Arabidopsis thaliana: one gene and its partner. The protein of the gene in region 1 interacts with the protein of each later gene in a biochemical or structural test. Each region holds a gene or a part of one and is shown on either strand. Other genes may lie near its edges.

The links.
Region 2: the proteins of ASY3 (region 1) and AT2G33793 form a complex in vitro, tested with the Arabidopsis thaliana proteins (one study listed by BioGRID).

The regions. Positions count from the first base shown.
Region 1 is NC_003071.7:19,290,029-19,306,260, reverse strand, and holds ASY3 (asynaptic protein), read left to right. Parts: upstream 1-1,989; 5' UTR 1,990-2,298; intron 2,299-2,801; exon of another isoform or gene 2,802-2,825; 5' UTR 2,826-2,831; coding exon 2,832-4,364; coding exon of another isoform or gene 4,365-4,382; exon of another isoform or gene 4,383-4,394; intron 4,395-4,462; coding exon 4,463-4,610; intron 4,611-4,714; coding exon 4,715-4,846; intron 4,847-4,924; coding exon 4,925-4,994; intron 4,995-5,076; coding exon 5,077-5,226; intron 5,227-5,299; coding exon 5,300-5,358; coding exon of another isoform or gene 5,359-5,432; exon of another isoform or gene 5,433-5,830; coding exon 5,831-5,965; coding exon of another isoform or gene 5,966-6,027; exon of another isoform or gene 6,028-6,143; coding exon 6,144-6,235; coding exon of another isoform or gene 6,236-6,259; exon of another isoform or gene 6,260-6,330; coding exon 6,331-6,393; 3' UTR 6,394-6,769; downstream 6,770-16,232. Other genes in the region: PIL1 (phytochrome interacting factor 3-like 1), read left to right, coding at 8,583-8,656, 8,831-9,365, 9,447-9,554, 9,643-9,708, 9,814-9,879, 10,243-10,644; CYP709B1 (cytochrome P450, family 709, subfamily B, polypeptide 1), read left to right, coding at 12,049-12,325, 12,425-12,651, 12,748-13,004, 13,090-13,453, 13,532-13,966; CYP709B2 (cytochrome P450, family 709, subfamily B, polypeptide 2), read left to right, coding at 14,720-15,167, 15,273-15,496, 15,580-15,827, 15,916-16,232. UniProt on the Arabidopsis thaliana protein: Required for normal meiosis in male and female gametophytes. Acts with ASY1 at the interface between the developing chromosome axes and the recombination machinery to ensure interhomolog recombination.
Region 2 is NC_003071.7:14,291,731-14,306,332, reverse strand, and holds AT2G33793 (DNA ligase-like protein), read right to left. Parts: upstream 9,340-14,602; 5' UTR 9,227-9,339; coding exon 9,114-9,226; intron 9,037-9,113; exon of another isoform or gene 9,008-9,036; coding exon 8,918-9,007; intron 8,020-8,917; coding exon 7,960-8,019; intron 7,855-7,959; coding exon 7,815-7,854; intron 7,731-7,814; coding exon 7,637-7,730; intron 7,528-7,636; coding exon 7,468-7,527; intron 7,383-7,467; coding exon 7,291-7,382; intron 7,206-7,290; coding exon 7,116-7,205; 3' UTR 7,082-7,115; exon of another isoform or gene 6,806-7,081; intron 6,625-6,805; coding exon of another isoform or gene 6,543-6,624; intron 6,442-6,542; 3' UTR 6,329-6,441; coding exon of another isoform or gene 6,081-6,328; 3' UTR 5,756-6,080; downstream 1-5,755. Other genes in the region: MBAC1 (Mitochondrial substrate carrier family protein), read left to right, coding at 1-40; SPL3 (squamosa promoter binding protein-like 3), read right to left, coding at 505-601, 693-991; EMB3113 (Ribosomal protein S5 family protein), read left to right, coding at 3,981-4,642, 5,159-5,408; AT2G33796 (FBD-like domain family protein), read left to right, coding at 6,081-6,328, 6,543-6,624; AGP30 (arabinogalactan protein 30), read left to right, coding at 11,096-11,504, 12,161-12,471; AT2G33780 (VQ motif-containing protein), read left to right, coding at 14,602-14,602.

The DNA of each region.
Region 1 (16,232 bases):
TATTTCAGTTTGGAAAAAATGTACTAATTAGTTGGAACCAATTGAGTTTTAGAGAAATATTGAAGAAACAAAAAAAAAATCAAGAGAAAAAGGATAAAGGAGAGATGTTCCCTAACAACACTACAAATTACAATTTCCTCACTTTCTTATTTTCTTACTGCCTCCGCCTCCTCTCTGTCCCCTCTTTTCTTCCATTATTTTCATTTGCATCTTCTCTTTATTTCTTTGCAACTTTAATCTTATGATATGTAAATTGTAAATATACTCATTTTTTTCTATATTGAATAAAAAAACTTTTGTTAGAAAAAGATACACATATACGATATTTCCTCAAAAATAATATGAAGTACTGATTTTGGCAGTCATTATAGAATTGCATTTTATTGGAAAGATACACACATAGTTCAAGTACTTTATATATGCGCTAATTTTGAGAACTCCACTTTACTGCGTCGTGGTTGCTTGTCAGTCAAAACTTGGGCTTGCTTTTAAGATGCGTGATTGCATTTGCATGTCTCGTGGCTTTCTTTTTCTGTAGCCCCTCTTGTTGGACTAATCATAGCCTTTTGTTTCCTCCCTTTGCTTTAACATTACTGAAATTATCGGATTGTTTCTTTCATTTGTTGATTGGATGTATGTTTACATTATTACATGTGTATTCATTGTTATAATATACAAGTTTTAAAACATTACTTCCCCTACCAAATAATTTCAAATATATATATATATATATATATATATTCATGAAGCATTTTTTATTTTATTTTGGTTTAATGAAGCATTAAATTTTGAACTTGCTTATGTTACTTTTATGATATTGGAAGAAGTCGAATTATTTCTTCGTTGATATCGTATATAAAATTTAAAACTCATAGAATTTCTATTCAAAAAGTAATTGGTGATTAAATGAATGGAGTGCCTATATATGTATTTTTTTTTTCTTGCAATCAATTTTGATTTAGAATTTGCATGCATGATATTTTTTTAATATTTTTTTATCCTTTAATAATTTTTTTTTATATTATCTAAAGTTGTATTTGTATTCCTTACATAAAGTTTGGTTACTTTCATCTCTAAGGTAAACTGCTAATATTAAAGAAAGTAATTTAATGGAAGCAAAAAGTGTTAAAATATGTAATATAATTTGAATGGAAGAGTAGCCCCCGAGGGCAATCAAGTGGAGGTCTTCCATGGTTAGGATGCAGAAGCTTAATACGTTTATATAGATAGATAAACAATAGCCTCCATAAAGTAAAAGATACTTGCATGCGTGCGTGTAGGTATTGAGTCGAGATGTTACGTGCGTGTCTTTTTATAGATACTATATATTATTGGTTCTTCTAAATCCTTAAAAATGTTAAGATTACGCACGCAATTCATGAATTGTATATAGATTTACCAAATCTTGAATTGATTTTAAATTTCTTACAAAGCAAATACACTGGTAGTGTGACATTTTGTCCCTGTGGATTCTGTATGACGTAATCTCGTTCCTCACATTATGACACTTAATCGAGTGTTTTTTTTTCCCTATCATTTTTTTTGTAAATTTATCCTCTACAAATTATGTATGTTTGTGAACTATTAAATACGATGTTGATATATATATATATATATATATAAACTATATAATAAATAAGTGAATTATTTTACGAGTATGGATCATAAATAAAACATGGAATAACAATAGAATGTTTGTTAAATAGAACTCAAATTAATGATCAGTTATGTACAGTCCGGCCTTAGGCCCAGGCACTACCCACTTGGGCCGGGCCTGGTTATGTAGCATATATATAAACGCTAGTCACCGGGATAGTTGGACTTGGATGGCTCTAGCCTGACCCGTCAAAGTTTAACGGAAACTTGACATATGCAAAGACCGTCTCCGTTTGAACTTTGAAGCGATTGAAATTTTTTGAGAGGCGAATTAAGGCGCCAAAATTTTGAGAATGATAAGTAGATTACGACACATGTACTCACCTCAATCTGACGGTTACGATGCAATGTAAATACGAAGAAATCTCAGGGTTAAAATCGTCCAAATGTTCGGCGTCGTGTATACGCAATTCAGCTACAGACAGTGTTTGTTACACACCATTTTGAGAAATCTAAATTTTCATTTTCCCCCGCTTCTCTCCTAGAAATTTCGAATTTCTGCTTCTCTCTCTCTCTATCAGTTTTCTCAGATCTTATTCCAGTTAATATTCCGGCGATCTTCTTTCTCTCTTTGATCACTTAATTCTTCACCGGAATCAGAGAGTCAGGGCTTTCGCACTTGTACCCGCGAGCTTTGATTAGGTAATTTCTTAGCCAATGATACCATCGCTCGATTTTCTCTGTTTTCGTTTTCGATTCATGGCTCGTTACTCTCATATTCAGTGATAAGTCGTCGCGATCTATGCCCCCTTTCGTTAAATTGGTGTTATCGTCTCGATTTTGAGTTTAGTACCAGCGTTATAGTGTTGTCTTTGCATAATCGGAGAGTTTTGGTATGAAATTCGTTGCTAGAGATATCACATCTCGCTAGTTGTTCATCGTTTCAAGCATCTATTATCTGCTGCTTCTCTTGTTTTCGTCATATTATCCAGATCTAGCACCTTCTTATTTTGGGATTTTCTATTACCAAATTTTTTATCCGAGTGTTAGAAATTTACCATTCCTAATGATTAATTTATCATCCATTATCGCTGAATATAGCCTGCGTTGTACTGCTTTACTTCTCTGTTTGTGTTGCTATTCAGAAATTATATGAGTGATTAGGTGTTCGTTGATATTTACATTCTTTTTCCCAGCAGAATTGTTAACCTTGTGGTGATACATTTCAGGAAAAGATGAGCGACTATAGAAGCTTCGGCAGTAACTACCATCCATCAAGTCAATCTAGAAAGATTTCTATAGGAGTTATGGCTGATTCACAACCGAAAAGGAATCTTGTGCCAGATAAGGATGATGGAGATGTTATTGCTAGAGTAGAAAAGTTGAAATCAGCCACCGTAACTGAATTACAGGCGAACAAGAAAGAGAAAAGTGATTTAGCTGCCAAGCAAAGGAATTCAGCTCAGGTCACAGGACATGTGACCTCACCTTGGAGGTCTCCGAGATCGTCTCATCGGAAATTAGGGACTCTTGAGAGTGTTCTTTGTAAGCAAACATCTAGTTTGTCTGGTAGCAAAGGATTAAACAAGGGACTTAATGGAGCACATCAGACACCAGCTCGTGAATCATTTCAAAACTGTCCCATTTCGAGTCCTCAGCACAGTCTTGGTGAGCTGAATGGTGGCAGGAACGATAGAGTGATGGATAGGAGTCCAGAGAGGATGGAAGAACCTCCATCTGCAGTCTTGCAGCAAAAGGTTGCCTCACAGAGAGAGAAGATGGATAAGCCAGGGAAGGAGACAAATGGAACTACTGATGTTTTGAGATCAAAACTGTGGGAGATATTGGGAAAAGCTTCACCAGCAAATAATGAAGATGTGAACTCTGAGACCCCAGAAGTTGAGAAGACCAACTTCAAGTTGAGTCAAGACAAGGGTTCAAATGATGATCCTCTTATTAAGCCTAGACACAATTCAGATTCTATCGAAACTGATTCTGAAAGCCCTGAAAATGCTACCAGAAGGCCAGTAACCAGATCTTTGTTGCAGAGGAGGGTAGGAGCCAAAGGTGTCCAGAAGAAAACCAAAGCTGGTGCCAACTTAGGTCGCAAGTGCACAGAACAAGTAAATAGTGTATTTTCTTTTGAGGAAGGTTTGCGCGGAAAAATTGGCACTGCTGTGAATTCCAGTGTTATGCCAAAGAAACAAAGGGGTAGAAGAAAAAACACTGTTGTAAAATGCCGTAAGGCTCATTCTCGAAAAAAGGATGAAGCTGATTGGAGTCGGAAGGAGGCGAGCAAGAGCAATACTCCACCACGTTCTGAAAGCACAGAAACTGGCAAAAGATCTTCATCTTCAGACAAAAAGGGAAGTTCCCATGACCTTCATCCACAGAGCAAAGCCCGGAAACAGAAACCAGATATTAGCACAAGGGAAGGAGATTTTCATCCATCGCCAGAAGCTGAGGCAGCAGCTCTGCCAGAGATGTCCCAGGGATTATCTAAAAATGGCGATAAACATGAACGGCCGAGTAATATTTTCAGGGAAAAGTCTGTTGAGCCAGAAAACGAATTCCAGAGTCCAACCTTTGGATATAAAGCACCAATCTCAAGTCCTTCCCCATGTTGTTCTCCAGAAGCATCTCCTTTGCAACCTAGGAATATTAGTCCCACATTAGATGAGACGGAAACACCAATATTTAGCTTCGGTACTAAGAAAACCTCTCAAGGGACAACAGGCCAAGCGTCAGATACAGAAAAGAGATTGCCTGTAACCTTCATAAACTGAAGCGGCTTTATCTATACTTAAGTTGCATATTGACTTTATATACTCCTCTTTGACTTTTGTGTTTACTTATTTATTTTCAGGATTTCTTGGAGAAGAAAAGAGATTATTCTTTCAGAAGAGAAAGTTCTCCTGAGCCAAATGAAGATTTAGTTCTGTCTGATCCGTCGTCTGATGAGCGAGACTCAGATGGTTCAAGAGAAGATTCACCAGTGTTAGGCCATAACATCAGTATGCTTCTTAATTCTTATCCTAGACCATATAAAAACTGGAGGATCTTATTTTCTTCTTAACAGAATCCATGTTTTGCTTATTCTATTGATCTTCTGATTCAGGCCCCGAAGAAAGAGAAACTGCCAATTGGACTAATGAGAGATCTATGTTAGGCCCTAGCTCAGTTAAACGGAACTCTAACCTTAAGGGCATTGGACGTGTCGTGTTAAGTCCTCCCTCCCCTTTGTCAAAAGGTATAATGCTCATTTGTATGTCACTGTTGTGGGTTTATATACTGCACCCTCATTTGTTTTGTCCTGGAAACTGAGCAGGGATCGATAAAACTGATTCCTTCCAGCATTGTTCAGAGATGGATGAGGATGAAGATGAAGGCTTGGGAAGGTCTCTTGTAGATATAACTAATATTACGTGTCTATCTTTAATCTTTGTTCCTGTCTTAAGTTGATTATTTACCATGTCTCAGGGCTGTTGCATTGTTCGCTATGGCTCTTCAAAACTTTGAGAGAAAACTGAAATCTGCAGCTGAAAAGAAGTCCTCAGAAATTATAGCATCAGTCTCCGAGGAGATACATCTGGAGTTGGAGAATATCAAGTCCCATATCATAACAGAAGCGTATGTTTGTATAATTTATTCTGCATTCTTTCTTTTAAATTATCAATCAAAGATCTTGTTAATTATGGTACAGGGGAAAGACAAGTAACCTAGCCAAAACTAAGAGAAAGCATGCCGAAACAAGATTACAAGGTACATCAACACATTATATCTTAATAGTTAATACTGTACTCGAATTCACAGTCATGAACATTAAGAAAGCTTAGAAGTTCAAATATACTATCTTTGCAGTTTAATCCTGATTCAAGGTAGTAGATCGGAAATTTGATATCAAGTATTACTCTTTAGATTGCATTTAGTCTTGAAGTACTCACCATCTTGCTTCATTCTTGTGCTTTCATGTCTCTTTGATTAGACACACACACACACCTAACTATACTTTCGGCTCTAACATAGACATGAAACTTGCATTTAACATAGTTATATCAAGACAAAGCTAAATGCTCAATTCATTCCTATGTGGAGAATAATAAAAAATTGAGCTGTGTATTGTTGTGGAACATGAGAGTCTGGAAATGTCTCCATATTTCCACTCATTGAATAAAAATATGCAAGATCCGTTCTGATCTATTGTGTTCACTGATAATATCTAATCGTCTAACAGAGCAAGAAGAGAAAATGAGAATGATCCATGAAAAGTTCAAGGACGATGTCAGCCATCATCTTGAAGATTTTAAGAGTACTATCGAAGAGCTTGAAGCAAACCAGTCAGAGCTGAAAGGAAGCATAAAGAAGCAAAGTATGTTAACTTCTGTAATTCCTGCTTTTACTACAACGAATTCTAACACTAGAAATACTTGAAACATATGATGTTATCAAAGTTAGATTCTTCATGGCAAGATAGTTTTAATATAATAATAGCAGGAGGACAAGTATTTCCTAAACTCACTTGATAACTTTTTATCTCTCTATGACAGGAACATCACACCAAAAACTCATTGCACATTTTGAAGGAGGCATCGAGACAAAACTGGACGATGCGACCAAAAGAATCGATTCTGTAAACAAGGCAAGTCATTGTTCTGCTTCTTAAGAGTCAGATTCTAAAAATGGTTAAATCATGAATTCAAAAGCACAACTTAAAAATGACGTATTGGTTTACAGTCTGCGAGAGGAAAGATGCTGCAGCTGAAGATGATTGTCGCAGAATGTTTGAGGGATGATTGACACTGAGTCTCACAGAATCAATCAACCACACGTACGTCGTTATTCTCCATTTTAAAACATAAACTAGACGAACTGTGTTAACCAGGAAAGAAAAACCTCTCAAGCAAAACCAGCCTTTGGTTTAGTGGTCTCATGAGTTCAGGCGAATAAAGAAGATATAGTAGATGATGCTTTGACTCATTGTCATTGATTCGTATTCGTATAGAATAGTTTATTGTTCACTGAACCACTACAAAACTACTTATATCATAGAGCCTTATTTTATATAGCAGTTTGAAGGTTTCTTTTTAATTTATTTTTGCCAGCAACTGCAGATATTTTTTATTAAACCAACAACTTTTAATTAGGTTATTGATATCTTGATATATATCGAAGCAAAACCAATCCAAACATTTTTCTTTTAAAAACCAGAATATTTTGCAGACGTTGATGTGAATTTTAATTACAATATTTTACTTTAACAGAGATGTATTTCATATTGAATATCAAAACCAAACTGAACAAAGAATGGTCACAATTCGATATCAATCGAATGAAACAGAAAATAAAATGTTGGACCCAACAATTTTACTGTGATGATAAAAACATGGTAGAGATAATTTTGTTTGTAAATAGAGAGATCTCAAATCACAGAGGATTCTTTTTTTACGGTCGGTAAAAGAATTTAGAATGTGTCGAGAGGGTAAAAATGGAGAAGACGACAAGATAGTAGCAGTCGTTAGAAACAAACAAGAAAGAAGGGAGGGAGACAAAATAACACAAAGGGGTGGATGAATCACGCGGCATTCACGTGAAGTGCACGTGAACTTGGCCAAAAAAAGCCTAATTGTGGGTCCCATTTAAAGAGAAAACTAAAGCCTTTAAGAAAGGGCCCATCCATATATGTCTTAATAATGGCGTGAAGGTTCTTTCCGCTCACGTGGGCCTTTTGTGCCCGTCTCTCTCGCATGTCACTCACTACAGTTTTACTAGTGTTTTGTTTTATTTTTGATAACAACATTATTGATTTTTTTTCGGTCTACCTAAGTTTTGACCTTTCTTTTTTAATTGTGAACAATTGAACATGCGTATTACTTATTGATAATACTTTTATCTTCAATAAAAAAAATAACACACGAACATAATATAGAAATAGTGTGTTCCAATACTGGAGATTATTTAGTAAGTTCAGTTGGACGCTTTGTCATTGCATAGTTTGGAATTTATTCCTAAACTTTCTAAGAACACGTTCTTATAGGAATTTGCATGACGAAAAAATCAATACTAGTTGCATTATTGTTGGAGCATCATCGGGAGTGATTTTTTTTGTGTTTTCCTATTTACTACATTGTGTTTTCCTGACCTTTTAAATAAAAAGGAAATACACAAAACCATATATAAATATATGTATATATATATCTGACTGTGCTCAAGTAAAATTCACGGATCAGACGTTAAAAAAATGATCATGCTTAATATTTTCTCATTTTAGATGAAGACAAAAAAAAAAAAAAGGAATTGCAATCGTAGATTTGACTTTATTTTTATTTAATTTTTCTATTCTTTTTCCGAAAGCAGAGAAAAATGGAGCGGTGGAGAGTAGAGAAGTCGGTCATAAGAATGTCTCTCTCTCTATTTCTTTGTCTTTCACTATCGCCCATACATTATCTTGCTTCTTTCATTTATTCCATCAATATTTTTGTTTTAAAATGAAAGATTTACACATTAACATGAATACTTATACTACTCTTTATCGCGTATATATAGTATAGTCTATGTTATTATGAATTTATGATTATATTTTTTCTATAAAACGTGCGAAAACTCATTTCACATATACAAACAAATATATACGTTTTGTATTAAAAAAAAGCAACTGTAAATTTTATAAATCTGAAATGTAACATTTGAAGTCGACCAAAGTTTGTAAGGTAATAATTTGTACTAATTCTCCATACTGTGTCATAATCACGATTCAAGGATAAATATATGAGTTGTGGACCAAAACAAATCCTCCATATCAATCAATCATAAATGAAATAAGCGAATATACATATATACAACCGACTATATATATATATATATGCTGCTCTTCATTAACCCCAAGAAAGAAAACCAAAGTGTGAAGTCCGAATCTCTCTGATTCTACAATTCACAAAAACCGGAAAAAAAAAAAGACAAGTAAAGAAAGCTTTGTTCAGTTTACTTCAATGGAAGCAAAACCCTTAGCATCATCATCATCTGAACCAAACATGATTTCTCCATCATCAAACATTAAACCAAAGTAAGTTTATTATGGTTTCATCTACACTTTTTGCGACTTCTATAAACATATACACATGCGTGGTTTTGAAATAATGGGCGCTTATGGTTCTGTCGGTGCTTGAAACAATTTTGTCTTCTCCTGACTATTTTTTTTTTGTTAATAGGTTATTTATACGTGACTCTTTTCTTGCAGATTAAAAGATGAAGATTATATGGAGCTGGTGTGTGAAAATGGGCAGATTCTTGCAAAGATTCGAAGACCAAAGAACAACGGTTCTTTTCAAAAGCAACGTAGGCAATCTCTCCTGGATTTGTATGAGACCGAGTACAGCGAGGGTTTCAAGAAAAACATCAAGATTCTTGGAGACACACAAGTTGTTCCGGTGAGTCAGTCTAAGCCACAACAAGATAAAGAAACCAATGAACAAATGAACAACAATAAGAAGAAGCTAAAGTCCTCCAAAATCGAATTTGAGAGAAATGTTTCGAAAAGCAACAAATGTGTTGAATCATCAACATTAATTGATGTTTCTGCTAAAGGTCCAAAGAATGTTGAAGTTACTACAGCTCCTCCTGATGAGCAATCTGCAGCTGTTGGTAGATCCACGGAATTGTATTTTGCTTCTTCATCGAAGTTTTCTCGAGGAACTTCGAGAGATCTAAGTTGTTGTTCTTTAAAGAGGAAGTATGGAGATATTGAAGAAGAAGAATCAACCTATTTAAGTAATGTAAGAGAAATTAATTAGCTGCTTGTCTTAGTTCTTTCACATGGTAGATCATTAATTGTCTTTTTCTTATTGCTTATGCAGAATTCAGATGATGAATCAGATGATGCGAAGACACAAGTTCATGCGAGAACAAGAAAGCCGGTGACTAAAAGAAAACGAAGCACAGAAGTCCATAAGTTATATGAAAGAGTGAGTTTATATGTATGAAAATTTCACCTTAGTTAGTAGAAAAAAAATAATGTATGAAAATTAATGCTAATTAAGGATTTGTTAACAGAAACGAAGAGATGAATTCAACAAGAAAATGCGTGCTTTGCAGGACCTACTACCAAATTGTTACAAGGTTTGAGATTAACTTAAATCACATTACATTGTTTACTTAGTCTTAGAGAGTTAATTAATTTTCTCTTTGTGGAGATTTCTGAATATCTGTAATTGTTGATGATAGGATGATAAGGCTTCATTGTTGGATGAGGCTATCAAATATATGCGGACCCTTCAACTTCAAGTTCAGGTATTCAAAATAATACACCAATTCAATAAAATTTCATTGAGAGATAATAAAATGATTCAGGTGTTAATTATTTAAACACAGACTTGTGTTTATATTTACATATAAATTTGTTTTTTAACATTAAAATATACTTTGTAAAGTGTTTTTGTTATCAAATATTATTGCGTTTGGCTTTTACCTTTACGAATGATTCTTGATAAAGTCACTAGAAACTAGTTTCATAAGAGAAACCAAAACAAATTATAAACGTAATTAAACACTAATCAATAAACAATCAAAAGTTTATTCCTTATTTATTTTACTACAAATTTTTTTACATATATATAAGATTCTTAATTAACATGCTCTAATAATTATTTACAGATGATGAGTATGGGAAATGGATTAATAAGACCACCTACGATGTTGCCAATGGGTCATTACTCTCCCATGGGTCTAGGAATGCATATGGGTGCAGCAGCAACACCAACATCAATACCGCAATTCCTGCCTATGAATGTTCAAGCAACCGGTTTTCCGGGGATGAACAATGCACCACCACAAATGCTAAGCTTTCTTAATCACCCAAGTGGACTAATTCCAAACACTCCTATCTTTTCTCCATTGGAAAATTGCTCTCAGCCATTCGTGGTGCCTTCGTGTGTTTCTCAGACTCAGGCTACTTCTTTTACTCAATTCCCAAAGTCTGCGTCCGCCTCAAACTTAGAAGATGCAATGCAATATAGAGGAAGCAACGGTTTTAGTTATTATCGCTCGCCAAACTAATGATTTGTAGAAAGTTGATGTTTTCTCCAACTAACTAACTTTAAGCAAAAAAAAATGATCGTCTACTCTGTGTTGTTAGTCTATGGGCTTTTGGGCCTTGATTCTTGGAACGATTTGAACTTAATTCCAACTATTTTCAAAGTGGATGTACAAAGTAAAATATAACAAATATAAGTTATCATAGACTCTATAACAAAGTTATAAGTAGAGGACGTGCAATTGCATAATGATGGATGATGATGAGTGTTCAATTACGATAAACCGATTTTAACGCAAACCCAACTAAGATGAAGACAACTCATTTGACCTAAATCGTAATTTGAAACGAATTTTGCCATGTTTTTGGGATTAAGGAACAATCTCAATGATGAGATTGAGTAAAGTACTACAAAACTTGGGCTTGATGGGCTTTTTAGTGGACTAATATCTACTTTATTCTTTCTTTTTTCAAACATTAAAAAATTAATTGGGCTTTTTCAAACACGAAAACAAGGGAGTGCAATAGTGTGATGAAGATGAGACTCACACATTGAATTTCTGATATTTTAGCGTCAGGTGCGTTGAAAACTTGAAATCAATGTGAAGATTCTCTTTTAAAAATAGATGACTCTTATTTCATGAGTTAACATGATACTTAAAGAAAGTGGATAGTTAAGTCTAAACCAATTCTTTTAGTATAGAAATAAAATTTCAACCACTTCCTTTAAATATGAAACCATGCAAAAGTAGATAACAAACGAAAAAGTGTTTCATTTTAAGATTCGATGTCACGATCCATCACATTGCACCGTTGGTTGATAAATATCTCTCATCTTTGTTTATTTATTTTCACAATGTTGTACTTCTATTTCTATAACATTTTCGTTTGAATTCAAATACCAAATTAACTCTCCAAACAATTAGTTCATCAAGTATTTTGTTCACAATGATATGTTAACAACAAATCATTGATTCATTGTCCATGCCGGATTATTTTAAAGATACAGAAACAGTAAACCTAAGATACAATGAATGCTAAAACTAAATTATTCTCCCAAAAGGATTACTTAGCTTTCATGAGTAATTTTATATTTTTCTTTTATCCACTCATTTTTTATATACTTTCTATAATTGTCTTATTACGTAACAAATATGTGCTATAGGCATATTTAGAATCTACTCTATCATCATACCATATATAAGACACATTTTACTTTATTAATTACTTTTTGTTTGTTCTCAAATTGAAAATAAACAGACGTGTTTGTGCTAACTTCATGTAGTGTTTAGATAGTGTTTCATTCACTGGCCATAGACTTATTTTACAAAGTTATATGTGCATGTCATTATATAGTGTAGAACTTAAAACACCTAACCAAGAACAACAATACACACACACAAACATAAGGAAAAAAAAACTTTTCCATGGGGCTCGTAATTTTCTTGGCACTAATTGTCTTAATCCTTATTATTGGTCTCAGGATATTCAAAGCTTTTATGATTCTTGTTTGGCATCCATTTGTGTTGACCAGAAGACTCAAAAACCAAGGAATCTCAGGCCCAAATTACAGAATCTTTTACGGAAACCTCAGCGAGATAAAGAAGATGAAGAGAGAATCTCATCTTTCGATTCTTGATCCTAGCTCCAATGATATTTTCCCTCGTATTCTTCCTCATTATCAAAAATGGATGTCTCAATACGGTGTCGTTTTCTCCAACTCTCTCTTTGTTCATCTTTTATTTTAGATTTTATTCGAGGATAATGCGTAACACACAAGTTATCTATGTTATATATTATTAGGAGAGACTTTTCTTTACTGGAACGGAACAGAGCCAAGGATATGCATCTCAGATCCTGAACTTGCAAAAACTATGTTGTCGAACAAGTTAGGTTTCTTTGTCAAATCAAAGGCAAGACCTGAGGCTGTTAAACTTGTCGGCTCCAAAGGACTTGTCTTTATCGAAGGTGCTGATTGGGTTCGCCATAGAAGAATCTTGAACCCTGCTTTCTCCATCGATAGGCTCAAGGTATTTTAATCCTTCTTTCTTAGCTTGACTTGAGAAATTAAACATTAGAGCCGAATAACTTAATTTTGGTTGTAAATTTCTCATTTTGTTGATCAGATCATGACGACCGTGATGGTTGATTGTACGCTCAAGATGTTAGAGGAGTGGAGAAAAGAGAGCACTAAGGAAGAAACAGAGCACCCGAAGATTAAAAAGGAAATGAACGAAGAGTTCCAAAGACTAACAGCTGATATAATAGCAACCTCTGCGTTTGGAAGCAGTTACGTCGAAGGAATCGAAGTGTTTAGATCACAAATGGAGCTTAAAAGGTGTTATACAACTTCTCTCAACCAAGTCTCTATCCCTGGAACTCAGTAAGTTAATCATTCTCCTACTTTCAGTTCTCAAACAAGATTCTTAGGTTTTGACATATATTGGTCTTGTTTCTTGTATTCTAAGGTACCTTCCTACGCCTTCGAACATTCGGGTATGGAAGCTGGAGAGGAAAATGGATAACTCAATTAAGAGAATTATAAGTTCGAGACTACAGTCAAAGTCAGATTATGGAGACGATCTTCTCGGAATCTTGTTGAAAGCTTACAACACTGAAGGGAAGGAACGGAAGATGAGCATCGAAGAGATCATACATGAATGCAGGACTTTCTTCTTCGGAGGTCACGAAACTACTTCGAATTTATTGGCATGGACAACGATGTTGCTGAGCTTGCACCAAGATTGGCAGGAGAAACTCAGAGAAGAGATATTCAAAGAATGCGGTAAAGAAAAAACCCCAGATTCAGAAACTTTCTCCAAACTCAAGCTGGTAATGTTCATTTTTTTCAAAGGGTCTCTTGTGAGACAATGTTTCTTGCGGTTGAAGAAACCTGTTTATTTCTTGCAGATGAACATGGTGATCATGGAGTCGCTTCGACTTTACGGACCAGTGTCAGCTTTGGCCCGAGAAGCATCAGTAAATATAAAGTTAGGTGACCTAGAGATTCCCAAGGGCACAACCGTAGTCATCCCGCTTCTGAAGATGCATAGCGACAAGACCCTTTGGGGATCCGACGCCGACAAATTCAACCCAATGCGGTTTGCAAACGGCGTTTCCCGAGCCGCCAATCACCCAAACGCTCTCCTAGCATTCTCCGTCGGACCAAGAGCTTGCATTGGCCAAAACTTTGTCATGATCGAAGCCAAGACTGTGCTCACCATGATTCTTCAACGGTTTCGGTTTATTAGCCTCTGTGACGAGTATAAGCACACCCCTGTGGATAACGTCACTATTCAGCCTCAGTACGGCTTACCCGTAATGCTTCAGCCTCTGGAAGACTGAAGTAAAATGCCCAAATAAATCGGATGTCTTAATGAATATACCTCACGTGTGTGACAAGTCTCCTCCATATAGGCCGGCTTATTGCTGATGGTGGGGGCTTAACAAATCATCCTTGTTAAGTTATTGGGCTTTTACTATCTCAGTTTGGAACCCTTGATGGGCTAAATAGTTATTAATAATTTAATATATTGTGACATTGCATGTATAATTGAAAAGTGGAAGGAAGTGTGTAACGGTTATGAATTCAAAAGCCAGGCTAAAGCAACTTGAAAACATGAGTAATCGACAATTCAGAAATTATAGGAATCTCGAACCTCCTTTCGTTCAGAAAAAGACAGTCCAAAATGTTAATAAGTTATAACAATATAAATTGTCCTCTATGACTTCAAAATATTTTATTACAGAAATGGCAAAATGCCAAACGAAAAATCTGGATCGCTGTTTACATTATTTGTGGTTGCCTTGTGAGACGATCACGTGAACTTTAGCTTTTACACGATTTTCTACGTGTGTCATATATCCCAAGAAACAACATCTACAACTTCTGTTTCTAACTTGTAACGTGTAAGCAAGCTACAAGAAGATAAAGATTACTTCCATAAGCAATGACGGCATCTGTTATAATCGATGCTGTTAAAAGACTGTCCCCACACCTCCATTAGCGATAGGCGATTTTAGAATCCGAAGTTTCCTTTATTGTCCGTTACGTTGTCTTACTTTCTTTCCCATGTAAAATAAATTCCCATTACTCCTATGTTATTTTGTTCGGTTAGAATTTTATTCATTATATCTTCAAAACAGCTTGTGCTTATATCAGAAACAGAAGTCACGACGACCCTCACACTACACACGACACATAAAATTGAAAGCCCCACTGCGAATCCACCACAAAGCAAAAAAAATTTGTTTGTTATTCGAATGGAGCTCCTGAGCACGATCAATCTCTTAGCAATAGCTCTAGTGCTTCTTGTAGTTCCGAAGATATATGGAGCTTGTCGGATCCTTGTTTGGCGGCCATGGATGCTATCGAGAAGATTCAAGAAGCAAGGAATCTCTGGTCCAAAATACAGGATCTTGTATGGGAACCTCCGAGAGATTAGGAAGATGAAGAACGAAGCTAAGCTTATGGTTCTTGATCCAAACTCCAACGATATCGTCCCTCGCGTCTTACCTCATCTTCAGCAATGGAAGTCTCAATATGGTGCCGTTTTAGTTCTCCATCTTCTTTGATCTTTCCTTTTCTTAAGTTTTTTGTTTCACTAGACAAAGATGCCTAACTAACACGTTAGCAATGGTATTTCTTTAGGAGAGACCTTTCTTTACTGGCAAGGAACAGATCCAAGGTTGTGCATCTCAGATCATGAGCTCGCGAAACAGATCTTATCGAACAAGTTTGTTTTTTTTTCTAAATCAAAGACAAAACCTGAGATCCTTAAACTTTCTGGTAATGGACTTATCTTCGTAAATGGTCTTGATTGGGTTCGTCACAGACGAATCTTAAACCCTGCATTCTCTATGGACAAACTCAAGGTTCTTTAAAATCATTCCTTCTTATATCTAATTAGTTGACAGTAGAAGATAGCACTTTGTTAACATTTCCTAAATTTCTTCAGCTCATGACCCAATTGATGGTGGATTGCACTTTTAGAATGTTCCTTGAGTGGAAAAAACAGAGGAATGGTGTAGAAACAGAGCAATTTGTGTTGATTAGCAGAGAGTTTAAGAGATTGACCGCTGATATCATAGCGACGGCTGCGTTTGGAAGCAGTTATGCGGAAGGAATTGAAGTATTTAAATCACAATTAGAGCTCCAAAAGTGTTGTGCTGCTGCTCTTACTGACCTCTATTTCCCTGGAATCCAGTAAGTTTCAGTATAATCACTCTTTTGTTTTTAAACTTCGTTCTTGTTTTAGTGATTTGAAAATTGGTTTTATTTCTTGTATCCCAAGGTACCTTCCTACGCCTTCGAATCTTCAAATATGGAAGCTTGATATGAAAGTGAATAGCTCGATCAAAAGAATCATAGATGCGAGGTTAACATCGGAATCCAAAGATTACGGAAACGATCTTCTGGGAATCATGTTAACAGCTGCAAGCTCTAACGAGTCTGAGAAAAAGATGAGCATTGATGAGATCATAGAAGAATGCAAGACGTTCTTCTTCGCAGGACACGAAACTACTGCGAATCTATTGACATGGAGTACAATGTTGCTTAGCTTGCACCAAGATTGGCAAGAGAAACTCAGAGAAGAAGTTTTCAATGAAT
Region 2 (14,602 bases), 5.0 Mb from region 1:
GGAGTTCTCAATGAAAATGTTGGGAATCAAACGTGACTAGGATTAGTCTTCCAATCTAATTTATTTGGTTCGATTTACAGATCTTTAAACCACAAGGAGCTTGCATTTGCTTCAGATTTTGATGAGCTTTCATGTAACAGAACTACATATATCACGAATCAAAAGTGTCTCCCAGATTATTATTTTTGATAGCTATTTAGCTGTCTCCTCATTTGTTGATTGCAAAACAAATACAGATCCCTGGTGTAGTTTAAGATCTTGGCTTGAAATAACATTTGACAAGTTTAAAGAGTTATTACACATAATTTCTTCAAGCATTTACTAAGTCTCAATGCATTTATTTAACCATGTCGTAGGTTTAGCAGATAGCTTTGATTACAGGTAATATGGAGAAACAGACAGAGACACAGAGGATTACAAGGAGCTAAAAGAGACTGACAGAAGAGAGTAAGCAAAGCCTGTTTCATTAACCTTCAAACCGGGATCTCACACGTTTCACCGTCTTTAGTCAGTTGTGCTTTTCCGCCTTCTCTCGTTGTGTCCAGCTAAGCGTCTCCTGCAACTCCGCTTGGCTTCATCAAACTCACTGAGCGCGTGAAACCTTAAAAACAAAAGGTAAAAGGTCTCATATTTCTTGTTCTTGTTTATGGTTATTGTTGCAGGAGTTTTGAAAAAAGATGACAAAAATTTACCTGCTGCATTGTTGGCAGAAACGTTGGTGAAGACCAGAGATCCGAACATGAGGAGCTTTGGCATGAAACTGGCAGACTTTGTGTCGTTTGTGGTACTGTTTGGCTTTGCTCATATCCGCGGTACAACTCTCGACCTGACAAACTCCACTACTACTTGTAGCTTTACCTTTCTGCTTCTTCTCCAAAGCCTCTTCTTCTTCAAAAGTATCTTCATCTTCAGTTTCTTCTTCTTCTTCCTCTTCCTCACTCAGTTCTCGTAAGCTCCTCTTCCCTTCCGCTTTGCTTCTTCTCATACTCATCTGCAAAATTCAACTCTCTCTCTCACATGAAAGATGGAACAAGAAGAGAAGAAGAGGAAGTAAAAGTAACCATTGGAAGAGATATAAAGGAGCCCCAAACAAAAGTGGGGAAGGATCTTAGGTGCTTAAGTTGTTGGACCACTAAAATTTCACTCCTAAGGTATAAAAATTATTAGCATGTTGTGTAAAAAAGAGTACGAACAAGCTTTAGTGCTCTATTATTTTGTATATGCATACATGCATACATATGTATCCTTAAAACCTGACGAGGACCCAGCTCTATTTTGTAGTTTTAAGTTAATGTCGATGCTATGACACCACCCCGGTTTATTTTGTGGTTGATCATGTTAATGCCGATGCTATTTCACCATGCGGGTTCAAATATGCATGTTGTTTGACAAGAAAATATTGAGAGAGAGAAACTGAGAAACACTGTGAACATTTTGTCGCGAGATTAGTGGAAAATACATGTGAAGAATATGTGCTAATGTAGTGATTGGAAAAGCAAGACTGAACAGTAAATTTACATTGTGTAATGTTTTATTTTTGTGGTAACAAGAAGTTGAGATTCGAACTAAAAAACAGACCAAACATACCACATTGCGTTTTTATGAATCATTCGCTTTTTTTTTTTGGTAGTTAAAGTTTCTGTATCAAAAAAGAATAACATATTTAAAAGATCATTCGTAGTGTACTATTTTATTTTTCTCTTATGTTGTTGGTTTAATCATGGAGTGACTCAATAATTTATCCAACTGTAGGTTTGTAAAAACGTTATTACTGAGGAATATGTCCACTAATTTGCACATAAATGTGTCGTAAGGTTTATATTTAGTTTCAAAAAGAAGTGTTTACGATTTTATAGTATAGGGCCACCACTAAATTAATTTGACAATTTAATTTCTTGTTTGGTGTAGATGATAAGGTCAATCAAATTAGCTATCGGGGCCACGAAGCCAAAAGTGGATATACAAGAATGGTCCAAACTTGAATTATGTATTCATTTTTCAATTGGTATTATGTAAAACAAAGATATTAGCATAATTAAATGGTAAAAACAGCAAACACAACTCTGTTATTCGAGATATTTTCTTTTCGATCTTGTACTCAGGTCTCAGGGTACACTAAAGACTACACATATCTCGAAGACACTCTGAGACTAGAAGCAACAAAAGAAAAAAAGAGAGGCTATTCTTAACGTGCAAGGAGGTTTGTGGTTCGTGAGATTTGAAGATCATCTCTAACTTAAAGTTCACACCTAAAACCAAGAAAAGAAAAAAAAAAAACTTGTTCACACCATAAAACCATGCACATATACTAGGTTATGTCATCAGCTAGATTCATGCACATCAGCACATCCACATATATAAATAATGAGGAGCGTCGTCAAATATTGATGCCAATGCTAATCAAATGTTAAATGATTTTGCCGTGTTATGTCATCAGCTAGATCCATGCACATCCACATATATAAAATATAGAAGGAAATGGTACAGCGCTATGCAAACGTTTTGCTCTATATCTCTTAGAGGTAAGGGACAAATCTATTTTTTGTCACCCCCTCCTTTTGACTATTTACGAAACAAAATCACCAGTTTACTATCTCCACTATTTAGCTCTATTTGTGTTTACATCAATCGATCTAGTTTGCCCTAACTTATTTTCATAGAGCCACTTGAACGAAAATCTTTGTTGCCGAGGCAGGCATAACATAAAATTGAGTTCCACGACACTTGAAATAAACAGAATCGAATCAATATCTTGAACCCAATTTATAAAAGGAATATTGTTATGCACTTATGGTTTATTTTCTACTTCTTTTAAGTTGAAATAATATCTTAAGAAAAAATGGACAAAAATAAATAACGTCAAGATTGGGCAGTAGAGTCGTCAGCTGTCATGACACTACTTATCATTATTGTACTGCCTGTCAATTTTTTGATTGTATCTTTTATTCAGCAGCATCACATTCTCCTTCAGTGTCCTTCTCTTCTTTTCTTTTTCTTTTCTTTTTCTTTCCTCATTAAACCCATACAATTCTACGGTAAATATTATGGATTTGCATACAAACTCTCTAATTGTTTGTTTGGGTACTATAATATGGGGTCCCTATAATATGTGTAGCTTAACTTTAAGATAGAACTAAGTCAACAAGATCCGGAGACACCATGTCAAAGTTCTATGTTCTTATGATTAGATGAACAAAGTTATGATTTATTCAAGATTATCACGATTCGAACTAGTTCTAAACTTGTAAACGTAAAATAATAAATAACGTTTGCAACTACAACACTGAACATAAATTAATGAAGTTTGCTTGATGTGTTGGTTAAAATTTGGAATGGGACAATAAAAAGAAGAAGAGAACTGAGAGAAGTGGTGGGGGAAGTGGGAACCTTAACTTCCCCACGTGACACTAACGAGCAACGTTAATTGAATAGTAGTAGGCCCTTTTTGTAGTACACTCTTTTATATATGGTCACCTTTTAATTAGTTTGCAAATCACATACTTTTAAAATCATAAAAGCAATTAACGTTGCTCGTTGGTGTCATATGCGATTGTAGTTAGTATAATCGATCTTAATTAAAACAAAGTCCATATTAAAAATGACCAAAGTATGTAAAAATAAAATGTTGAATTAGCATATGGTCACTGATCTTTTCTATTTTAAGATTTAGTAAACCTAAGATGTATCCGCAAGCCTATAGGGTTTGATGTGGATTACTACTAGTTACTTTTGTATGGGCTTGAAGAAACTTCATTGGGCCACAAAGAGGGAGGAGTGAGCGAAGAGCCCAAATTCAAACAAAAGGATATGAGGGTTCAAATGTTATTATAAAATATATTGTGGCCAATTTGTAAAGAAACTTGATAATTACTTTAAAAGCCCCAACACAATTATCTTTACAGTTTTTACGATCTGGTGCTGGATAAGCCTTTTGCTTCATTCTCACTTCCTTCCTCATCCAAAAAAGCTCCTCCATTTCAATGGCGACAGCATCAGCTCTCTCATCACTCTCTTCACTCTCACTCCACACCCGAACCTCTTCTCTCATCTCCTCTTCCTCCACAAAATCCATCGTCTCTTTCTCCTCCTTCCTCAACCGCCGCTTCTCATCTCTCACTCTCGTCAAAGCCTCATCGACCGATACCGAAACCATCTTCTTCGAAGACGAAACACCAGAAATAACCGCAAATGTCGTCTTCGACCCACCAATTGCTCCCGAAGGATTCGTCTCTCCTCCGTATTTCGACGAAGGAAGCGACGAGACAGAGGAAGAGATCGCTACCGCTTTTGAAGAGCTCTATGGACCTGCGTATAGTGGTGAGAGTATGCTTGGGAAAGATATTTATGTGATGGACTCAAAGCATAAGAAGAGTTCAGGTATTGGTGGGAAGCCAAAGAAAGATAAGATTAGAGATGGGTTTGAAGAGAGAGTTGTGCAAGTTAGGAGAGTGACTAAGGTTGTTAAAGGAGGGAAGCAATTGAAGTTTAGAGCTATCGTTGTTGTTGGTGATAAACAAGGGAATGTTGGTGTTGGTTGTGCTAAGGCTAAAGAAGTTGTTGCTGCTGTTCAGAAATCTGCTATTGATGCTAGGAGAAACATTGTTCAAGTTCCTATGACTAAGTATTCTACTTTCCCTCACAGGTAATCAAAGTTTTGGACTTGATGTTTGTAATGTGTGTTAATTGTTGGAAGAATTGGTTTTGGATGGTAAAAGTCTTACTTGGTGATGAACTAAGATTTTGGGATTAGTATTGTGCAGTCATGTGTTGGATTTGTGATGGGTTTGTTTGGTTTACAGATTGGTGTTATGGTACTTGTTTTACGAAACTGATGTTTGCATTGTGCACAAAAGTTAAAATATTGAATAATGCCCTAATGATTAGAAGAATCGGTTTTTGTTAATCAGTAGACAATGAGCTAAGATTGTGGGGTTTAGTCTTTTTAGCATTGTGTTGGATGTGATGATTTGCTTGGTTTAAGGATTGATTTATGGAAGTTGTTACTCAGAATGCTGGTTTTATGAGATTGATCTTTGTGTTGTGCACAATCAATTAGAAGAATCGGTTGGTTAATAGGCCACTGAGCTATGTTTTGGAACAATTGGAGATGGGTTTAAGTTATGTTTTAAGAGGGTTTTGTTTGGTTTTTGTATTATAGATCAGAGGGTGATTATGGAGCAGCCAAGGTGATGCTTAGACCTGCTTCACCAGGTACTGGTGTGATTGCTGGAGGAGCGGTTAGGATTGTGCTAGAGATGGCAGGAGTCGAGAATGCATTGGGGAAACAGCTTGGAAGCAACAATGCTCTCAACAATGCGAGAGCCACTCTTGCAGCAGTACAACAGATGAGACAGTTCCGCGATGTTGCACAAGAGCGTGGAATCCCCATGGAAGAACTCTGGAAGTGAAAACTCATCTTCGCTTTAACATTTTCATCCTCTTTTGTTGAGATTTCTTGTAATGATGTAATTCATGAGAAAATATGTTTATTTTGAAATAGTAAATCCTTTCTTCTCCCATAAAAGTTCACATTGACCGATTCTATTTCAGAATGCTATAGCTATGGCTGATAAGGTTGCAGGTGAAAATGTACAAGGAAGAACACATACACTTGTCCGAGACATTTATGTTAGTCCAATGAAGAGCCCATCAAGCCCAATTTAGTACTTACAGTCTTTGACAAATTCGAAAATTAAGATCATGGTCCAGATCGAATATCATAATTACCACAAGTGTTTCTTTCAGTGCAAAAGAGTCTCCTTCTCCATTCAACTTGGTATACATGCGAAGACTTGTGCCATAAAATGCTTTGTTGTTGTCCAATACTTGAGGAATTATCCTTACAACACTTTCATGGTCAGTTAATTATCCAACACTTAGATGACAACGTATAGAAAGCAAAGTATACTCTATATCCCACAAAACCCTCAAGAGACTCACGTTTCACTACAAAGCTAGAAACTTTTGTGCTCAAGGTGTCTAAATCCAAACTTAATATATACGCAGTTAACTAATCCACATGCTTCCGCGTCAAGTATTACGTACAATCCTAACTCTGTATGAATGGTGATCTCTTTGTGATGGGCTTGCACTGTGTAAGTAATCAGGGAGTCTTCATTGATCGAAATGAAGTGAAGGTGTTGGAGATATATGGGTATAGAGGACGTGATAGAGAGCTCAGACAAGTGACGTGCTTTTTGCGGGAAATGCGGTTTCTTCAAGTGATGAAAGTCGAAATTGATGCTGATGATGATAACAAGAAACAGCAACTCATTAATCACCTTCTTGCTCTGCCCATACGTTCATCTAAGTTCCAAATCCAGTTCTTGTGAGATTCACATTTCCTTCTAGTTGAATTTTGGGTTTCGGTTTAGGTTTTAGATTTCGGAGATGGTAACCAAACTACACTTGACTTTTGCGTTTCGTATTCCGTCTTTGGTCCTAGGAAAATGAAGTTTATGTTAGCTATAGATTAAGGGTCGGTTTCATATTTAATCAAAAAACAATAAATTAGTTTATCCAAATTGAACTCTTATGAATAGTTCAACATTCAATTGGTTTATATGGTCTTATGAAACTGATGTTTGCATTGTTCACAAATGTTTAGAAGAATCAGTTGGTTGATAGGCTTTGGAGCTAAAACTTCGGGAGCAATTTGGGAGGGTTTATGTTCCTGAATGTTTTAGTTATGAATTAGATGGGTTTGTTTGGTTTTGTTTTATAGATAAGAGGGTGATTATGGAGCAGCCAAGGTGATGCTTAGACCAGCTTCACCATGTACAAGTGTGATTGCTGGAGGAGCGGTTGATAAGCTTTAACTACAACTATATATCCATAATCAATAATTGAAGCTCTTTATGAATCAGAGTTGTGGTGAATATAATTGTTAGCTAACTTGTGGTGAAGCCAGCTAAAATGTAATTAATCTTTCATTTCAAACTATAACATAGAAGAAAATAAGGTTCATATTCATAGTATTCAAAGTCTTGAAACACTACTTGAGATAAGTGTGTTTTCTGCTGGGAAAGAAAACTTGAAAGAAATGTCTGGGGTGGCTGATCAAAGTAAAAGGGCTTTTTACCTTTCTAGCGTCAAGTGAAAAAGACGTTAATCTTTCACTCATCAGGTGGGAATTCCTCATCAGAAGCCTCGTTTTCCAGAAAAGAGCCGAGAGTTTTCCTCAGTATGCTGAAAGTTTTGTCACCCTACACCCAGAGAATTCATAGTTCAGTCATATAACAAGATTAAAGAGAGAGTATGTATAACAAGATCAAACAGGCTTTAATTTACCCGTTTCTTTTTCTTCAGTGACTCTTCCAATTGAGCAAGCTTTTCAGTGCAGAACTTCTCCTGTTCCGTTATCATTGTCTTCTCCTTCTTCCCTATATGTTATTTACAGGTGGAAGTGAGTAAGTTTTGCCATCTTCTCATAACAGTGGTGTCATTATAAGGGGTTGGTTTGCTTACTTAGCTGCTCATATCGCATGTAGAGCCTCTCCTTGTCCTCCTCAAACTTTGAAATAGTGTCTGTAAAGCAGAAACACATGTTCAATACTTTTGGTAACATCCCAATTAGCTAATGAAAGAAATCTACACTTTTGACGCCCAACAGTAAGAGATGACAAAACCAGAATACCTTTCAAGCCTTGTAGATGATCAGCTTTGTCTTTCACGAATTTCTTATGAAGCTCCTCAAACTTGGCAGCTTCATCCTTCAAAATATTCTCACACTGCAAAAATGGATCAGGTCAGATCCTTGTACATTTCTAAAGGCTAAATTAAGTTGAACATCGTCTTAGGATGTTTGTTCAGACCTCCTTTGAACTCTTTGAAAGTGCTTTGGAAAAGTTTTGTCTGCATTTTGTAAGTCAAGGACACAATTCATCAGAATCTTGCAAACCAACATTCACAAAGCATGTAATTGAATATCAGACATCTATCCTCAACAACATAGCCTACCTTTCTTTCTCAAGTTTTGACTTCAGCTCGTCAATCTTTGACTTCACCTCAGTGGACACACTGCCAGAAAGATACACAAGGATTAAAGAAAGATTCAAATATAAAACAAACGACACTTCAAAAGCAGGATACTCACAATCCTCAGATGATTCTATCTTTCTGGAACAATAAATGACAAAACCATGCTACTAGATACCAAGTAGTGATACAAATCAACCGATTGCTTCAGAGTTGAGTATCAAAATCAAAAGTCTGAACATCTAAACGTTCTGTATCTAAGAAATCAAACGAGCTTCATATCTATCAATCAACCATTTGCTTTCTAGTTTAAGGGAGACAAAGAGCAATACCAAAACCAGTTGCACAATAGATAGCTGAGTGCTTCAGAGCTGATGAACAAAAGACTGATCATTCTGTATCTATGAAACTAAACGAGCTTCATATCTATCAATCAAACATTTGCTTTATAGATTATGAAATTCAAGAGCATACCACAACCACTTTCACAACAGATCAACCAATATCAAAAAGGCTAGAACAAATGATCGAACACTTTATCTAGCTAAAACTAGTTGATATTTGGTTTGCGATACAAGATCCAGACTAATCCACATATAAAAGAGCTTGATATCTATCAATCGAACATATATATGCTTTCTAGTTTAAGCGATACATGAGCATACCATAACCAATTTCACAACAGATCAACCAATATCAAATGCTAGAACAAATGATCAAACACCTTAGCTTCATCTAGCTATATCTACTTGATAAATTGATTTGCGATACAAGATCCAGATCTAATTCATGTACCAACGATAACAATTAGAAGAAACGCTCCATCAACAAATGCACATGAGCGATCGACATGAATATCTCGATAACTGCATAGTGAATGATGAAATCGAAGTTTACATAACCTAATCAGAGAGAAACATGTAACGGAGAGATATATGACCTGGAAATGCTTTCTTCCTTCTTCTTACGGCCATCTTCGTGCGCTTTCTCTCTGAATTGCTGCAACGCCGACATGATTCCTTTGAAATCGCTACACGATCAACACGGAAACACAATCGCGAGTCACATTTCAGCAAAAAAACAGAAGAAACGAAGAAAAAGAAGAAGACGAAGCAAAAGAAAACACGAGAACGGACCTAGAAACATCGACATCCAATTCGTCCGGGAGTTTTGCTTTCGGTGTTGGCTTCTTGAGCGATTGCGGCGGCTCTGGCCGAGTTCTCTTAGTGCCTCTTCTGGTAGACGACATTGCAGACGAAACTTAGAGAGTGTGAGATTCGATGAAGCGAAATCAATAGCTCTGGCGAGTGGCGATTATCTGCTCTCTCTCGCTCGTGTGATTTGGATTTGAATTTGAATTTTGAAATTCTGTTTGTTTGTTAGAAGACTTCACACTTCACAATAATATATAGCCCACTTACGTATTGTGGATGCCGTCGTAGCTGATCACGTACTCTCACTATTTTCGTTTTCTTTTTTGATTTTTTTTTCTTCTTTAAGTTATGGCTAACATAATTACTATTATAAAAATAAAAAATTATTCTATGCATATAATTCTTCAAATTGTGGGTAACAAAAGTCACTGTTACTTCTATTTACATCAATTTTTAACCCAAATGAAATATGAGACTTGATACATCATGGGCCTCTATTTTTTTGTCAAAACATCATTGGGCCTCATGGCTTAAAAATGCGTATGAAAACTTCCTTCAACTCAAACCCAAATTAACTCAAATTATTGCATGTCGATCTCATTGTTATCTTGAGATTGATCATTGAAGTATAGAAAGTTAGAAACTTTCACCCCTAGGCCTAGTTTATGGTTTACTCTAGCGTATATCTGTCTTACCTCTTCTCTCAAAGCTTAAGGCCATTGTGTTTACGTTTATGTATATCTTCACGCTTTATTTTTATTTTTTTGGTTTAGGTTAATACCAATCCTAAAAACTAAATACATATCACCGTACCATTTAACGTTTTATCAAAGTTCTGTGGTTCAACACTCTAAATATTACATGTGACGCTATACCATACGTTTGCGAAGCTTGGAATTTTTCAAAAAGTATTTGATCTCACATAGCTTTATTCAGAACCTCCAAAAGAATTGCACTTATAATCTCCAAGGCATTGTATAGTTTAGGAAATGAAATCTTATGCATGACGTGAAACGATGAAAGTATAAATCTTTTTTGTAAAACACTAGACCAAAAGAGTTTCCACTATTAATTAACATCAATTTTTAATAGTTATTTTCCTGATTTAAGAATAATTACACGGGCATTGTTTTACCAGTTTCATTAAAATCTAGTTGACTTTTTAACGTATTTTATCTTATCCTGATCTAAGAATAATTTTATAGGCACCGTTTTGCTAATTTAATCAAATTGGAAACCCAAATAAATAGAAACAGAAGTGTGGATATTAATTGAACTTTTAAATGTGTTGTAATGTGTTGAAGCCGCACCAGGCGCATCTTGTTGCCATGCCCATGTTAAGGACCACAAAACATGGAACATGAATGAAAACTCATGCACTAATACTATCTATATCCCAGATATTTGCATTGAAAGTTACACTGTAAATTTACATATTGTCCAATAGAATTTGTAAAATTATATCTATATTTTTTTTTACTAACTCTCATTAAATTCACAAACTATAAGAAATTCACATATACATGACTATAATTTTCTCATAAAACTTTCAAATCATAACATTAATTTGTTGAATATTAACATATATATGACTAAACACTGTATTGAATTCAGCTGTGATGCATTCGTTAATTATTATCTTTTCATCAGAAAAAATAAACTTCAGGTAGGTTGACGAAGTTTTCATTTATTCTATTAAAAAAACCCGGGAAGTGACTGTACTACAAATCAATATCGAGTTTCTTGCTTCAAGTATTCAAACCTGTTAGGAGATCTAAATCTAAATCTTTAACGGGACTACATCGATCGGAAACTTCTCGCCAGTTGTGTACATGTGCTGTGTATGCCTCTACTCTCTAGTATCTATATGAAGTATAAAAAATTGTAGCCCGATATCTCCTATAAATACACCCAAGTCACATCAACCCAAAGTCACACACACAAAGAAAAACAAAAGAACAAAGATGGGAATCATTGGTAAGAGTGTTTCTCTAACTCTCTTTGCACTTTTGTGCTTCACTTCCTCTGTTTTCACCTTAGGAGTGAATCAACCTGGTTCATCAGATCCCTTCCATAGCCTTCCCCAACACCTTCCCCTACCTCCAATCAAACTACCAACTCTTCCACCGGCCAAAGCTCCCATCAAACTACCAGCCTACCCACCAGCCAAAGCTCCGATCAAGCTACCAACTCTCCCACCAGCCAAAGCTCCGATTAAGTTACCAACTCTCCCACCGATCAAACCTCCTGTTCTCCCACCAGTTTACCCTCCTAAGTACAACAAGACCCTAGTGGCAGTTAGAGGTGTGGTCTACTGCAAAGCTTGCAAGTACGCGGGCGTCAACAACGTCCAAGGCGCTAAACCCGTTAAAGGTACTCACTTATATACATTCATGATATGAAAGTCTATATATTATCCTAAAAATCACTCGAACCCTTAATATACGCACCTGTGGACCGTGGTATGTCCGTATGTGAAAAGTCCACACTTCAATCCCATGCATTCATACTTTTTTTTTGCTAAAGGTATGCTGCATGCATACTTCATCCTTTACATTTATTTTAGGCATATGTTATATGTATCATAATCTCATTGTCGGTTGTTCAAAACTTTTTGTGTAAACTTTTAACTATATGCTACCAAGCGAGATTAGTTCAGAGCCGGTCGTATCATTCTGGTCCCTTCACGAATTGATAAACATAAAATATACCATGGAAAACTAAGTAACTTCTTTCAATGCTTTTGAATTTAATTTAATTATAATCAATAGGTTTTTGGTTAAGACAATCTACTGTAGCGAAGCCTTGTCATTGTTTTCCCCAAGTTTCCTATAATACCAAATTTAGCTCAACTAGTAAGAAAATCTTGTTCAAGTCATGCCCCTTCTTAAAAAAAGAGGGTAAATTTACCATAACTAATCTAAACAAATACATGCTCTTGCATTATTTTAAAACAATTTCTGTATAACAAATCTATCCAAGTACTATATTTTCACTTTTTATTTCGTTTGTGTTATCTGGGGATACAGATGCGGTGGTGAGACTTGTGTGCAAGAACAAGAAGAACTCAATATCGGAGACAAAGACGGACAAGAACGGATACTTCATGCTCCTGGCCCCTAAGACGGTGACCAACTACGATATCAAAGGTTGTCGAGCTTTCCTCGTGAAGTCTCCAGACACCAAGTGCAGCAAAGTGTCGTCACTCCACGATGGAGGCAAGGGCTCCGTTCTAAAGCCGGTCTTGAAACCAGGATTTTCCTCGACCATCATGAGATGGTTCAAGTACAGTGTGTACAACGTTGGTCCATTCGCATTCGAACCTACCTGCCCCAAATGAGATGGTGTTATAAGAGCTACTTAAACTTTTATTAATCAATGATTGTGTTGAATATGTATCAGCTTGGTTTCTTTGTATGGGCTTTTCTGGTAGTGTTAATCTTTCTAATTTGCTTCTTAAATAAAAAGTGGTGACGTTTACATATTAGGTTTTTCTTGTTAATTCCTTATCTTCGTGACCCCAAAAGAAAAAAGAAAAAAATAGTTTGCTAAATAAAAGAGACTCTGAATATGTTATGTGGATGTTAATGAACACAACCGTTGATATATTAGCCTATATATTAATTCATTAGGAATCGAAATGACCAAATTTATCTCCAACACCATCATATCAGAACAAGTATTGACAAGTGTTGAGCAACTAGTACAATAATTTTCTTTCATAATTATACTGTACATTTGTTCATTTTGTACGAAACCTCTGATGCCATATATAAAAATGTTATCTATGATTTCGACCTACGAGTACGAACAGTCATCTTTGTACGTAAGTTTGTCATTATTGTATAATTGATTTTAGGAAAAAACTTTCTGTAAGATCAGTTAAAATTTAGTAGATCTCCTATCATTTATCATCATTATATATCTTCAATTGAAAGATGAATCAAAATTAATTAGGCAACTTGGCAAAATATATAAAGTTTATTGACTTTGTTAAACTTACATAATCTATATATTTTTGACAACACATATATCTTTTGGCAAAAACATGGTAAATAGATGGGTTGGTATAACTTAATAACACTTTACAATCGTTCAAAATCACCCAATAACAAATTACTTACCCAAGACTTCATTCCATAATAAGATCTCATTGGATTAACTTGTTCCTACATATTTATATTTTTAGTTGCACTCTGAAAAATGGTCTAGCTAGTTCATGTGTTATAGACGATGTATTGTACTACTATGATAATCACATGAATTGTATAAGAGCGTATGACCCGAAAGAGAGGATTTGGGAAGTGGTGAACGGTGTGGAATTAAAACTACGTTTGGACGGTCCACGATCATTCACAACAAGTTATGGTAGAAAATTAGTTGTGTTTTTGCATAAAATAGAGAAAATGAGCGAGACAACAGAAATTTGGTGTGCAGAGATTGCCCTCGAAAGGCGCGAAGGAGGAGAAATATGGGGAAAGGTCGAGTGGTATGATCTTGTGCTTGATGGAACATCTTGCATTATGAAATGTCTAGCTGTTAAAAATTTGATGTTTCAACCATGTAATGGTGGTCATTATCGTCTTGTCGTTCTATGGTTAATAATGATTGATTTTGATATCAATAAACATCTTCTTTTATGGTTAGAGATTAGCTTGGGTACCTTCTATCATTAAAAGAAAAAGAAATATTTTGATGTTTAGCTTTGTTTAGTGCTTCAAAACTTCTCTAGTTTCTTCATAATTACTCCGTGAACGATACACAAAACACAATGAGTTTGGAAAGAAAAGTTTTTAATAAGCTAAATGCCTAAATCCAACACAGATGACTCATATTTGAATTTTTGTGTAATAACTAATAACGCACATTTATCATATTTTGAATTATGGGAAGTTTTTGAATGTATCTGCAGTATTATCTTCACAAAGATTTTGTGGTCAAAAACAAGATTTTGTGAAATCAATGTGTTGACTAATAATGTATTGACTAATATAATCCCATATCTATGGTTAGATACTCTTTTGAAAATTTTGAGAAGGTAAATGCGTTGACTAAAAATATGTTGACTAATAATCTCATTACTATGAAAATCACAAGTCAACAGGTCCACACACCAACAAACGTTGGCAGTTCCTAACTCTGACAGTGGCGCGTGACATGAGATTACAATTCTACAAATAGCTAGTCATATTTACCCTAATGGGAAGGTCAATATGTATGTACCACTTGTACATTTCTCACCAAGCCAATCCAAAAGAACAAATTTCTTTCCAAATAATAAAATTAAATATATGCAAAATCTAAATAAAAGAGTTATACTATTTTATGCCAAAAAAATTAATTAACTTTCTTACCATAAACACGTTCATATAATGTTGAACTAAATTTTTTTTTTCTGATCTTATATAACAAGAGATTATATTGCTTGTAAAACATAAATATACATCCATTGAACTTCTCTTCTCAATCAA